3 linked regions of the Coturnix japonica genome follow. The protein of the gene in region 3 interacts with the protein of the main gene of each other region in a biochemical or structural test. Links are inferred from orthologs where the notes say so. Each region holds a gene or a part of one and is shown on either strand. Other genes may lie near its edges. The genes, in order: UBE2K, LHX3 and RLIM.

Region 1 (4,212 bases), about 51 Mb from region 3:
ACTCATGTTATTTGTGCTTTAATTATTCTTCATTTGGTGCTTTGAGCTTCACCTTAGCATGGAGAGCAGCCCCTGTTTCTCTGCAGGTGCAGAGTAGGAGAGCAGGTGCCTGGGGAGGAGTTGGGCACATTTGGGAAGAACACAAGAGGGAGTTTGCTCTCATCTTCAAGTTCTCATCTTGGTACTGAAATAGGTGGGAGAACCAGAAACATTTAAAAGGGAGAAGCTGGATGGTATTTGACTTCTGTGCTTGGAAGCACCAAATTTCACTTTAAATATTGGTGAAGAGGTAATTCTGTGAAGTGTGCTATTCTTCCTGTAGATAAAGTTTAATACTGATATGCCTAAGTATCCTTAGTGCTTTCTGTTTCTGTGACATTGAATAGTATTTCTGGGAAATCACTACAACAGCCTTCAGCCTTGCCTTGCTTTCTGGTTTGCAGGTAGGAGCTGAGGGATTTGTGATGTAGGAGGGGAGGGGCTGACAAGGCTTTTAAAATCTTCTCACACTTCAATATTTTTTGCTTCTTTTTTTTTTTGGTAGCATTTCTGTCTTTTTTAATTGTTTTAATAAGGCCTTGCACGTTGATTTAAGGAATGGGGCGTTGTAGAGATCTTTGCAGCTTTGCACCTTTTGAGTTTATAAATGAGGTACGTGAGACTGACAACAGTTTCCCCATTGAGAGACAGAGGAATTGTCTTCAGAGTAGGAGGAGAGTTGAAATGTTCAGGTTGCTGATGTCCTGCGTATTCAACAAAAGTGAAGCTGCTCATGTAGGTAATAACCTGACTAGTGTAATATAGGTTGGAGGGTACCGTCTTGTTCCTCTATGAAAACTTAAAGTAGTAAACAGTGATTAACTCATGCACTGTTTTGAATCATAGTCTAGGCAAGTTGCACTCTTTCTTTCTTCTGTCATTTCATTAATTTATCTTGTTAGTTTCATGGGTTAGGCTAAATTAAATTCCAAAGTAGCAAAACATGTTCTGAATGAAAGTGTGAAGCTGCAGCTTGATGGAGAAACTAACAATTGGTGGAGGGGGAATAACAGCCCAGTATCTTTCGCTTTGATGGCTGGGAAGAGGCTTTGGTGAAGGTTAGCTGATATTATTCCAGAACAGGGTTATTGGAGTGCTAGCCAGATTCTTACCATCTCTGTCTGTAAGCAGCTGTCTTATGAGGGGAAGGATCTGGTATTTAACAACGAGCGCTGAAAAACATTGTGTTCATTCATGGGCTGGTGCTGACAAGTGGTTTAGTTCATCAGGCACGTCAATGTGTAAATCTTTTTTCTTATTTTACTATAGTATCACATGTGCTTTAAGGAATGGTATTGTGCTGGCAGTGGAGTTGACCATCCAATATCTTCATCATGCAGGAATGTAAGGAGATTTCTGGCCGTCTCTCTGTGAAATGCTGTTAGGAGTGAAATTGCTTCTCTGTGGCATTGAGGATAACACTTCGGTAAACATGGCTTCCTTCTGGCAAGAAAAAAGTTGGTGGTTTTTCTACCACAGAATGTTCCTCTTCCCTGTATCAAAAGGCAGAGGTTTATCTGCATGGAAGGTAAACACAGATAGAGCTACAAATAAATTAAACTCGACTGTAGTTGCAGAATAGGAGTATCTGCAAGAGCAGATATGTGCAGTAGCAGTTAAAATTTGTAACGTGAGTCCCAAACAGTTTTCAAGTGGAAACAGTATGTTGATGGCAAAAATTGAGTTGCATCATTTCCAAGAAGGAAGTCGATATTTGTTCTGGAGTCTGCTATGTGATTTTGTGTTGTAAAAGAGAAGGGAAGAGTAACAATCGCGTGCCATACTGTGTTCCTCCCTAGACTTGCAGTGAGTAGCTGTGCTGTTTGTTTGCTGCTGGTGGTGTTGGGATGCTTGGCAGTTTGTAAGCTGCTAAGTGACATCTTGGTAACTGGAGAGCGGTGAACTGAGGTTCAGAAGAACTTTACTGTATTTGATTTGCTTATCACAGAATCACACAGAATCACAGAATGACCCGGGTTGGAAGGGACCTCAAGGATCATGTAGTTCCAAACCCCCCTGCCTGGCAGGGCCACCAAACATACACCTTTACTAGATCAGGTTGCCCAGGGCCCCGTCCAACCTGGTCTTGAACACCTCCAAGGACGGGGCATCCACAACCTCCCTGGGCAGCCTGTCCAGGGCCTAACCACTCTCCTAATGAAGAACTTCCCCCTAACATCCAACCTAAATCTTCCCTCTTTTAACTTTAAAACCATTACCCCTAGTCCTGCTATATCAGCCCTTTCGAAGAGTTTACTCCCCTCCTGGGAGTAAGTTCCCTTCAGGTACTGAAAGGCTGCAATGAGGTCACCCCGCAACCTTCTCTTCTCCAGGCTGAACAAACCCAACTCCCTCAGCCTGTCCTCATAGGGGAGGTGCTCCAGCCCCCTGATCATCTTCATCTTATACTTGAGCAGTCTTGGGTACTAGAAACTGAATTCACTAAAATGGAAGCTTTTACTAGTAATTGTGCTTCGGTGTCATTAGAAAGGCCTGATGGATACTGTGGATGTGTGGTGGTTTTTTTCTTACCATTTATTATGTAGGAGCAATGCAGATGTATAAAGATGAAATGTCTTCTATTATGACTCCTGAGTCAGCAACGTAATATTTAAACAATGCCAACTTTCTGCTCAGGCAGATATTTAAGTCTTGATTCATGAGAATTGGTCTATTGAGGTCAAGTGTAGGTTTAGTAAGTGCGGAGTGTGAGTGGAGCTAGAGTGGGCCTAGTTAATTAAAAAGAAGCGTAAAAATGAGAACTTCTACAATGAAGTTGTCGTGTTGGTACAAATCTTTGGTGTGCCTCTCAGAAACCTTGCATATGGCCTCAGACTTGGGGGGGAGGGAGGCAGCAGTGTGTCAAGTACAGGCTGCTTTGCAGAGGGCTGTGTGGAGACTGGAGAAATTAATGAACTGACAGGAGCTTTGTGAAGTTAACTGTTAAGTGCCAAGTCCTGAATCTGAGAAGTAACACTGTACATCAATACGTGTATGCTCTGGGGACTGACTGGAGACAAAGCAAGTTGGCAGAAAAAGACCTGTGGCAAAGAGGGCCAACTGCACACTGGGTTGTTTTTAGCATGAATGCAGAGAGGGGTGAGGAAGTGGTTCTTCACTTTCCCATGCACTTCTGAGACCATATCTGGAGTGCTGTGCCCTGTTCTGGGAAATCCATTAATACACCAAAGTGAGTCCAGTAGAATGCCATAAGGGAGATTAAGGGACGGGACTATGTGATGTGAGAGAGGGGCAGAAAGGTGGCCACTTAAACCCACCACAGGTACTTGACTCCAGAGGAGAATCAAACATTTCGGTGGCGCACAGGGGTAGGATGAGAAACAACAGGTAAAAGCTGGAACATGATAAATTATGACTGGAACCTGGGGAAAAAAAATGGCGTTACAGTTGTCTCATTGAACTGATTGAATGGAGAGACTGTGGATTCCCCATCCTTGATGATATTCAGAAACTCAGTGAGACAAGTTCTTGAGCAGCCTACTTTTGTTGGACCTGCTTTGAGCTGGAGGTAGGACTAGATGCCCACCAAATGTCTCTTCCTGCATCGTTTTTTTTGTCTCTAGTATAAGGTTCTTTTAAATTAGTGCTGTGGTTGTGTTTTCTTTTTTGTGAAAGAAAATGCCAGGGTCCCCACAACACCCTTCTCTCCAAATTGAAAGTGTATGGATTTGATGGGTTGACTGCTCAATGGATGAGGAACTGGTTGCAAGTTTGTACCCAGGGAGTGGTGGTCAGTGGCACAGTGTCTGGATAAGGATCAGTGACTAGTGATGCCCCTCAGGGCTCAGTGCTGTTTAGTGTTTTCATTGGTGACATCAACAGTGGGATCAAGTACCCCTCAATAAGTTTAAACTAATATGAGTTAATACATTTTTTATGGTAAGGGTAGCGGAGCACTACCAGGTTGCCCAGAGAGGTGGTTGATGCCTTGACCCCGAAGTCATCCAGAGTCTGGATGGGGTTCTGAGCAACCTGACTGAGCTGTAGGCACCTCTGTTTGTTGCAGGGGAGTTGTTCTGGGTGACCATTAAGAATTCTTTCCAACTCAAAATGGTCTATGACTGTATTACTGTCTCCAGACCTGATAAAATATTTTCTCTGTGAACAAATCAGAGGTTTTGAAGTAGCATTTTTCTCTTTATCTGGGAAGTT
Region 2 (3,118 bases), on a different chromosome or scaffold from region 3:
AAAGGAAAAGGGTTGATGGTGTGTGATTGGCATATGAAAGAGCATCTTGTTTTAGAGAAGCGGAGGTGAATTGAAAAGAAAGCAGAACAAACCGCTTCAAAAAATCCGCTGGAAGAACAGAGATGTTTGCTACCATGGGGTGCTGAAGTGATTCGCTATTAACATTTCCCCTATAGAAATATAGATATGGTCACACCTTTCATCTCGGATGAGGACTTTATTTTCTCTTCAGAAGGTTTTCAGTGTGGGTGGGTGGTGAAAGAAGTCCTCGCTTTGGAGGATGCAATGACAGCAGAAAGCAAAACACCTGTAAAGCACAACTCTCGGTGTTCAGTAAGGACACCATCACCAGGTTCGTGGGATGCTCCTCATGCTCACCTCTGTGCCACGTCTCCCTTTGCCCACTGTCCACTGCAGATCCACCAGCAGCTCGCCCTCTGCAAGCATATCCACGCTCTGCAGGGCAGCCATGCCATCCTGCCCGCGCAGCACTCAGCACGTCCCTCCTTTTTTCCCCATGGGCAGATGACATTTGCCAGCGATGAGTCCTTTCCCTTCCCACTGCACAGTGGTGGATCCTCTATCAAAACTGAGCATGGTCGACTTCATCCAGCCAGGACGCTGGGCTGGCAGGGAAATCCGGGTATCCCCCACTGCTGCCGGTGGAGAGGTCAGAGCTGGGCCCATTCCCAGCCAGGACCCTCATGGACTGGGGCACCCCCTGTCCGCCTTGTCCCATGATGCCCAAACCACTGTCGGGGTAAACCAAGCTGGAGATTAAAGGCTGGTGGCCTGGCAGTGCTTGCAATGAAGCCGGTGACTGGGGAATCCCATAGGGGCTGTTGGATCGTAGGTCGTGGTACTGGTCCTGAGCTGGGATGCCGCTGTGATCCAGAGTGAAGCCCCCGTTGGTCCCAGTCTGCCTCCCCAGGGCTGGGGATGCCTCACTGAGATTGCTGTAAATCCCATTGGAGTGGCTCATCTCGGACATGGAAGGCTCATCTGAAAGGAAAACAAACTGGTTTTACTGGGAGAGTGATGGCCACGGCCGGCAGTGCACACAGGAGCTCCTGTGAGCCCTGAGTACACACAAATGAGATGGATGGGAATTGAGCAGCCGTGCACTTCCTAGTTGTAATTCCTTATTATTCCCTATTATTCCTACCCTTATTGATGAGTCTCCAAAGAAAGACAAGGGATTATTTTTTCTGAGTACAAATGTCTAATACATTTGGGGTCTAAAAAACAGGCACAAAAAGCACACATTCAAATATAGGACTGAGGTTTTAAAGTAATCCTTTAAAGAGGAACATGAGTTCAAGATCTTTCCATCCTTTTGGTCTCTCCTTTATATTTGGCTTTGGGGTTTATTTTGAATTTCGGTCTCATTTTTAGGATCTACCTGAGCATTTGATACAAGGAAAAACTGTGCATTGCTCAGAAGAAAATGAATTAGATCTCAGCAGTGTTTGTTTCCTCAGGATCGGGATGATGAGGAGGAGAAAGGCTTAAAAACACTTCTGAAATATGAAAGTATTTTGTAAATCACCAGCAAAAAAATTGTTTGCTTTCGTTTGGGGCTTTATGGGCAGCGAGAGCCGTTCCGTTGCCTTGGATACAAATCTGCTTTGGCACCGAGCTATCAATAATTGTTCGACAATTTTTAGTTATTATTTATGGTACATTCATATTTAATGACACCGAGGCGCAGCGTGTGTGCACAGGCTGGAAAATCAAACAGGTTTTAGGAACACGGCAGAGAGCAGAAACACAAAGCTGTGTGCCCATAAACATCCGTGCATTGCGGGCGGATGTCTTTGTCAGTAGTGTTGTATTTCAGCTTCTCTCCCGTATCTCTACAAACGAAGTCTACGCACACAAGTCTGAGCCCCGCGGGGATGCGGTGCAGGTGCTGTCAGTGCGGGTTGTTTAGCGCTGCCGCCCCCGTGCACCCACCCCAGCTCAGGGCTGCGGCCCGGCAGTGAGCGGCCGCGGGGCTGAGGAGCACAAAGCTGAGAGCTCCGGGGGTTATCTGCAGAGATGACTGCCCCAAAAACGGGACCCTGTAATGCAGAAATCTCCCAAAACGAAGCAGTTCCTTTTTTTACAGCAGGGAGGAAACAGCTCCCACAAGACTGGGAAGTAACTAACAAGAACTACGCAAATCAAACGATTCTAAATAGGATAATACAACAACAACAGCCAAACTAAGAGGAACCTATGAGCTTTTCCTCGTAGTTCAGTAATTTTGAACTCCGAGTTTTGCATTGTCCCTTGAGAAGAGACATTGAGAAGACTGCATGCAGGGGCCGCTCCAACAGCCCAGCGCTGCCCATGGAGCTCTCCCTGCTCCGTCTGGGATCTGTCACAGGATTTCCCCGTGCCATTTCTCAGCTCACGGCTGTTCCCGGCGCAGCGGCTCTGGCTGTGCCAGGGCGGTCCCTCCACTCCGCCTTCCTCTTATCGCACTTATTTTCCCTTATTATATTACAGCTAAAAATAATTAATGTGACCCCGAAGGGGTGAATCGAGCCCTGCCAGGGCCGCAGCTCAGCCGGCAGCCCTCGGCGCAGCCCCGTCGGGCACCGACCTGTGAAGGAGACCTCAGCGTCGCTGTCGGGCCCCTCCTCCTGGATGCTGTCCTTGTCGGACTTGGAGGTCCCCCGGGACCGCTTCATGTTCCTGAAGTACTGCCCCCAGCGCTGCCTCCCCGCGTCCTTCTTCAGCCGCTTCTCCTTGGCCCGGCGGTTCTGGAACCAGACCTGCAAGCAGAGCACGGGGCAGCTCGCTGTGAGCGGGGCCGACCCGATCCCAGCCGCCTCCCGGGGGTGGGAGCCGCGCGGTCTCACCTGCACCACTCGCATATCCAACCCCGTCTCCGACGAGAGCTGCTCCCGGACGTGCCGTGCCGGCTTGGGCGAGTTGTTGTAGGCGTTTTTGAGGGTCTCCAGCTGCTTGGCCGTGATGGTGGTGCGGGGCCTCTTGGCCGTGGACTCGGCCTCTGCCGGCACGGTGCGGGTTAGCTCGGAGCTCCCCGCGGGGACCCGGGACCCCCGCCCTCCCTCCTGCCCAACCCTATGCACGTGCGGAGCCCCGAGGGCAGAGCGGCCCGGAGCCG
Region 3 (4,115 bases):
TATGCTCTAATTCAATAAGAAAATACATAGTTGGGGGTGTACATCTAATCCAGATGGAACTGGGATTGCTCCTTTAGTAATCATTTTGGCATCGTGGCCTTAGTTCTATTGAGTTTCCAGTCAGTTTCATTTCATGGTCCCATCCTGTAGGAAATAAAACTGATAAGAAACAAAACCTGCAACTGACCACTCAATTTGTTCCTGCTCAAACACTATAGCTGCCTTTGAGTTGTTATATCCCAAGGGGGAAAAAAACAAAGATGACTTCCAAGGAACTTCGCTTTTTCTAATGTCATTTTCAATAGGTATTTCTGAGACAGTAATGTGGGATCTTTTCCAGCTTCTGTGGGAATCCCTTACATCCTCTGCAAAGCTTTAACTTTTTCTTCTCCTTAAGCCAGTACTCAGCATCCCATCCCCCTTGGGTTCAAAACCAAGCTTGTGGTTTTCTCTCTCCTACCTCTCTATCTTTTCAGTCAGTTTGTTTGTGTTTTTCTCTCTGCCCTGATTGATTCCTGATCCTGCTCCTCTACCAACCTGCCACAAAGGAGACGCACTGACCCTACAGGTAACATAAGTAGAGTTTTATTGAGCGCAGAACTACAGTGACATTTAACCTACAAGCAGGCTTACAGAACTGTGGACGTGTAACGCTTAATTTAAGCTTACACTGTCAAATAGGAACATCTGGCTTTTCTGCAGCATGACTCATCTTCAGCACACAACACTGTAGTGTAAGCCAGCATGAGAAGGAAATCCTGCTAGCAAGGCAAGGAGGGTGAATGTTGTCAACAACAGCCTTGCTGACCATTTTTCCCTTACGAGCTGGGAAACACTGGCCATTTCCAGTCTCTTTGCTGACACCTTCACTCACCACGACCCAGGTGAGTACCTTGAGGTAACACGAAATGGCCCCCGTGGCTCTTGGTACACACACGGGCCATACCACTCCTTCACGCCAACAGCATCACTCGGGGGCTATGCTGAGCCCTGGGGGCTGCAAACAGAGAGGTGGTCCAGCCCCCCTTCACCCCCACACACACCATCAGCCCCATCCCCTCCGCCTTTGCCCCTCTTCAAAATGGCGGCGCCCCTCCCCTCTGCACAGCGCTGGAGCCGCTCTACCCATCTCGGCGGTGCTCCACTCTCCTCTCGTTGGTGCGCGTCCCCCACCCCCGCCCCGGAGGCTCCGTCTGCGCGTGCGCACAGGCCCGTTCCTTTACTTCCGCTGTCGGCTGCCGCTTCCGGGCCCCCGTTCCTTGGTAACAATGGAGCAGAAAATGGCCGCCTGAGAGGGAAGGCAGAGAGACGCTGCGGCTGCTTAGGGACGGACGGAGCGCGGCGAGCCGGCACCGAGCCCGCTGAGGACCGGAGAGAGCGGCGGAGTGACAGCTGAGGAGACGGCGGCGGGCGGTGAGTGCGAAGGCCTGGACGCGGACGTTCAAGATGGCACTGGGAAGGGAGAGGCCCAGGCCCAGGGGAGGCGGCGGCGGCCTCCGCCCGGAGATGGGGGCGGCCAGGGGGACTCGGGCTCCTGAGCCCCGCGGTGTGGATCTGCTCAGCGGGCTCAACCGGGCAGGACGGTCTCGGGTTCCAACGAGGCTCGGCGGGCCGCAGCCGTTTGAGGTGGAGCGGGTCCGTGCTGGAGCCGGGGGCCGTGATGGCGCTGTGCCTGAGGCTGTGCCCTGCTGCTCCGGATCAACAGGGCCCCAAAGCACTGGGGATTTCTCCGCCTTCGCTTGTGGTGCGTGATAGAGGACGGTCATTGGGGCTCCACCACCGCCGGACAGTTGAGTGGGCGGAGGGAGGGGGGGGTCAGGGTTGGAAAAGGTTCTTTTTGGGTGAGGTGGAGTATCACGGCCACTGCCCCGGGCCTTGTGCTGCTTAGGGCCTGCTTGAAGATTCTCGGCTCTTCAGGTCTGTGTTTGCAGGTTAAATTCCTTGCGTTAAGGCAGGAGCCCTGTTGGAGGTGAACAGAAGTGATTCTTGATCCCGTTGTGCCTTTTGGGAGGGTCGTGATCTTTGTGTGACCTGTTAAAAGCTGTTGTGATTGCTGTTGGTGTCTTATCCGCTTCTCTTCACTTAGTCATGTAATATTTATTCTGTTACCTTGCTTCCTGTACACATTTTTCCTTCCTTTTTTAATGCTGTCTACAGACATTTGGAGTTTCTGTTTACTGTATTTCAAAACTGTTGTCAAGTGTTATGCTATATATACATCACTTTATTTTCCATTGTCAGCCTTAATGGAGGAGCAATACCAAGTTGTAGAATACGGACGTTTTGAGGTTCATTATTTGTTTTGATTTTAGTGTGTAATAGGAGTCGGACACAAGATTTCACAGCACAAATACACTTTTTAAATTGAATGTTCTTGTTTGTGTTTCTGTTTTCTTTTTTTGAGGTGATAGTTGTGAGGAGCCTGTAAACAAGGGTTCAGTTGGGACTGTATACAGTAGGGCAGTTGCATGTATGATATATTTCTCCTGTCTGTGTTGACAGTACTTGTTGTTTTCAAGCTGTAAGTTGTCATGAAAACAATAGAGAAGTTCCAGCACTACTCTGTTCCATAATGTTAATTGCAGTGACTTGACAAGTGTTTTTAGGGGGGGAAAAAAAGCGTGTTTGGCTGCCCCTTAGACAGTTAATCATCAAAACTGAGAGTTTAATGCTTGGTTTTGCTGGAATGACCAACTACCATTTAAAAAAGACTGCATTCCCTCTCCAAGTTTACCATTTGAGAATGAAACTAATTACAGTTTGCAGTCTTGTCACTTCTGCTGCTAACAAGGGGCAGCACAACGCGCATCATAGGATTAAGAGATGTTGGTTACGTTGGACCACTAAGTGTAACAGTTACAATATACTGCTCATCAGCAATTCTGGCTACATCAATGTTTTGTCAGTGAGAAACCACAAGCATTTTTTCAAGCTCGTAGTCGTTGCCAGCAGTATCAAATTTATTTTCCATATTACTGAGTCCATGAACATACCAAGGTGTACTGGAAAGCAGTGTTGCAAGTTTCTGGTCTTCATTACATGTCTCTTTTTTTTTTCCTGTATCAGTATTTTTAGAGTAATGTGATCCTTAAATGGAAGTGTTTTTAAAAACACTCATGTATTAATGTACTTGGCTCCTTTATTTCTGTGTTCCCCATCCCTATGGAATTGTTTCAAAGTAAGTTTCTTCATCTTGGTAGAATTCTTATAGTTGCAGTAGGAGTATTGTACTTTTGTACTTTTTACAGCCATAATTTAATGACATTTACTTCAGCCCATAGATTGTATTTGAGTCCAGTTTAGTGAAGTTTTAACAAGTTACTTTGGTGTTCTAAGTTCCTCGAGTGCTTGACAAGAACAGCAACAACTGCGTGCACTGGGTTTCCTATGTGGGTTGTATTTGTAGTGAATCTGTCATTGTTGTTTTGGCCTTTTAGTAGAAGCTGTATTAGCAGTTCTGTGAGAAGGTGAGAGTAAATGTAGAGCTGGCTTTTCCAGTGGATGATCATTGGCTTTGTGCTTTCAGTAAACAGAAGTTCTCTTTCCTCAGAAATCAAAACACTGTGTGATGGGCATCAGTTCTGTGGGTACAACTTCCTTAGCTGTCAGTCCTGTTTACACTGCTGTCTTTCAGCGTCAGCACCAGTTACTTTCATGCAGAGTATTACTTCCCTGGAGCTCCAGCCTCGCTCTCCTGCCCGCTGATCTAGCAGGAATATGGAATATCGCTACTCAGGGAAAGAGAAGTTCCATGAGACTTCTTCCACTACTGGAAAGTCAGTAACGTGAGTGTGCTTAGCTTTCTCTGAGGTGATATCACCTCTGTCTGAGCACAGAAGCAATACTATATTAATTTTATTTTGATTTTTGTGTGTGTGTGCGTGTGAAAAATGCTGTTCTAATAAGTCTAGGTTATAAAATGGGAAGTACCTGATTTTGACAATCCTTGTCTTATATTCAGAGCTTCGCCTTCATTCCCATGAGATCAGTGTTCTGAAATTGCAAAGCTCCACCCTTCTGTATGGAAGGTAACAATAGAAACCTGTAATGAATTGCTATGTGTTCTAGATCTATTTGAAGCGGGGACAGTGGGCACTTACACAGTGAGAAGCCAA

What was found.
Region 1: the proteins of RLIM (region 3) and UBE2K form a complex in vitro, tested with the Homo sapiens proteins (2 studies listed by BioGRID). The link is inferred for Coturnix japonica from reciprocal best matches to the Homo sapiens genes RLIM and UBE2K.
Region 2: the proteins of RLIM (region 3) and LHX3 form a complex in vitro, tested with the Homo sapiens proteins (2 studies listed by BioGRID). The link is inferred for Coturnix japonica from reciprocal best matches to the Homo sapiens genes RLIM and LHX3.

Annotation. Positions count from the first base shown.
Region 1 is NC_029519.1:62,495,179-62,499,390, reverse strand, and holds the start of UBE2K (ubiquitin-conjugating enzyme E2 K), read left to right. Parts: upstream 1-1,407; 5' UTR 1,408-1,414; coding exon 1,415-1,567; intron 1,568-4,212. UniProt on the Homo sapiens protein: Accepts ubiquitin from the E1 complex and catalyzes its covalent attachment to other proteins. In vitro, in the presence or in the absence of BRCA1-BARD1 E3 ubiquitin-protein ligase complex, catalyzes the synthesis of 'Lys-48'-linked polyubiquitin chains.
Region 2 is NC_029532.1:6,534,607-6,537,724, reverse strand, and holds the end of LHX3 (LIM/homeobox protein Lhx3), read right to left. Parts: intron 3,002-3,118; coding exon 2,850-3,001; intron 2,763-2,849; coding exon 2,591-2,762; intron 1,003-2,590; coding exon 584-1,002; 3' UTR 562-583; downstream 1-561. UniProt on the Homo sapiens protein: Transcription factor.
Region 3 is NC_029519.1:11,724,770-11,728,884, reverse strand, and holds the start of RLIM (E3 ubiquitin-protein ligase RLIM), read left to right. Parts: upstream 1-1,250; 5' UTR 1,251-1,413; intron 1,414-4,115. UniProt on the Homo sapiens protein: E3 ubiquitin-protein ligase.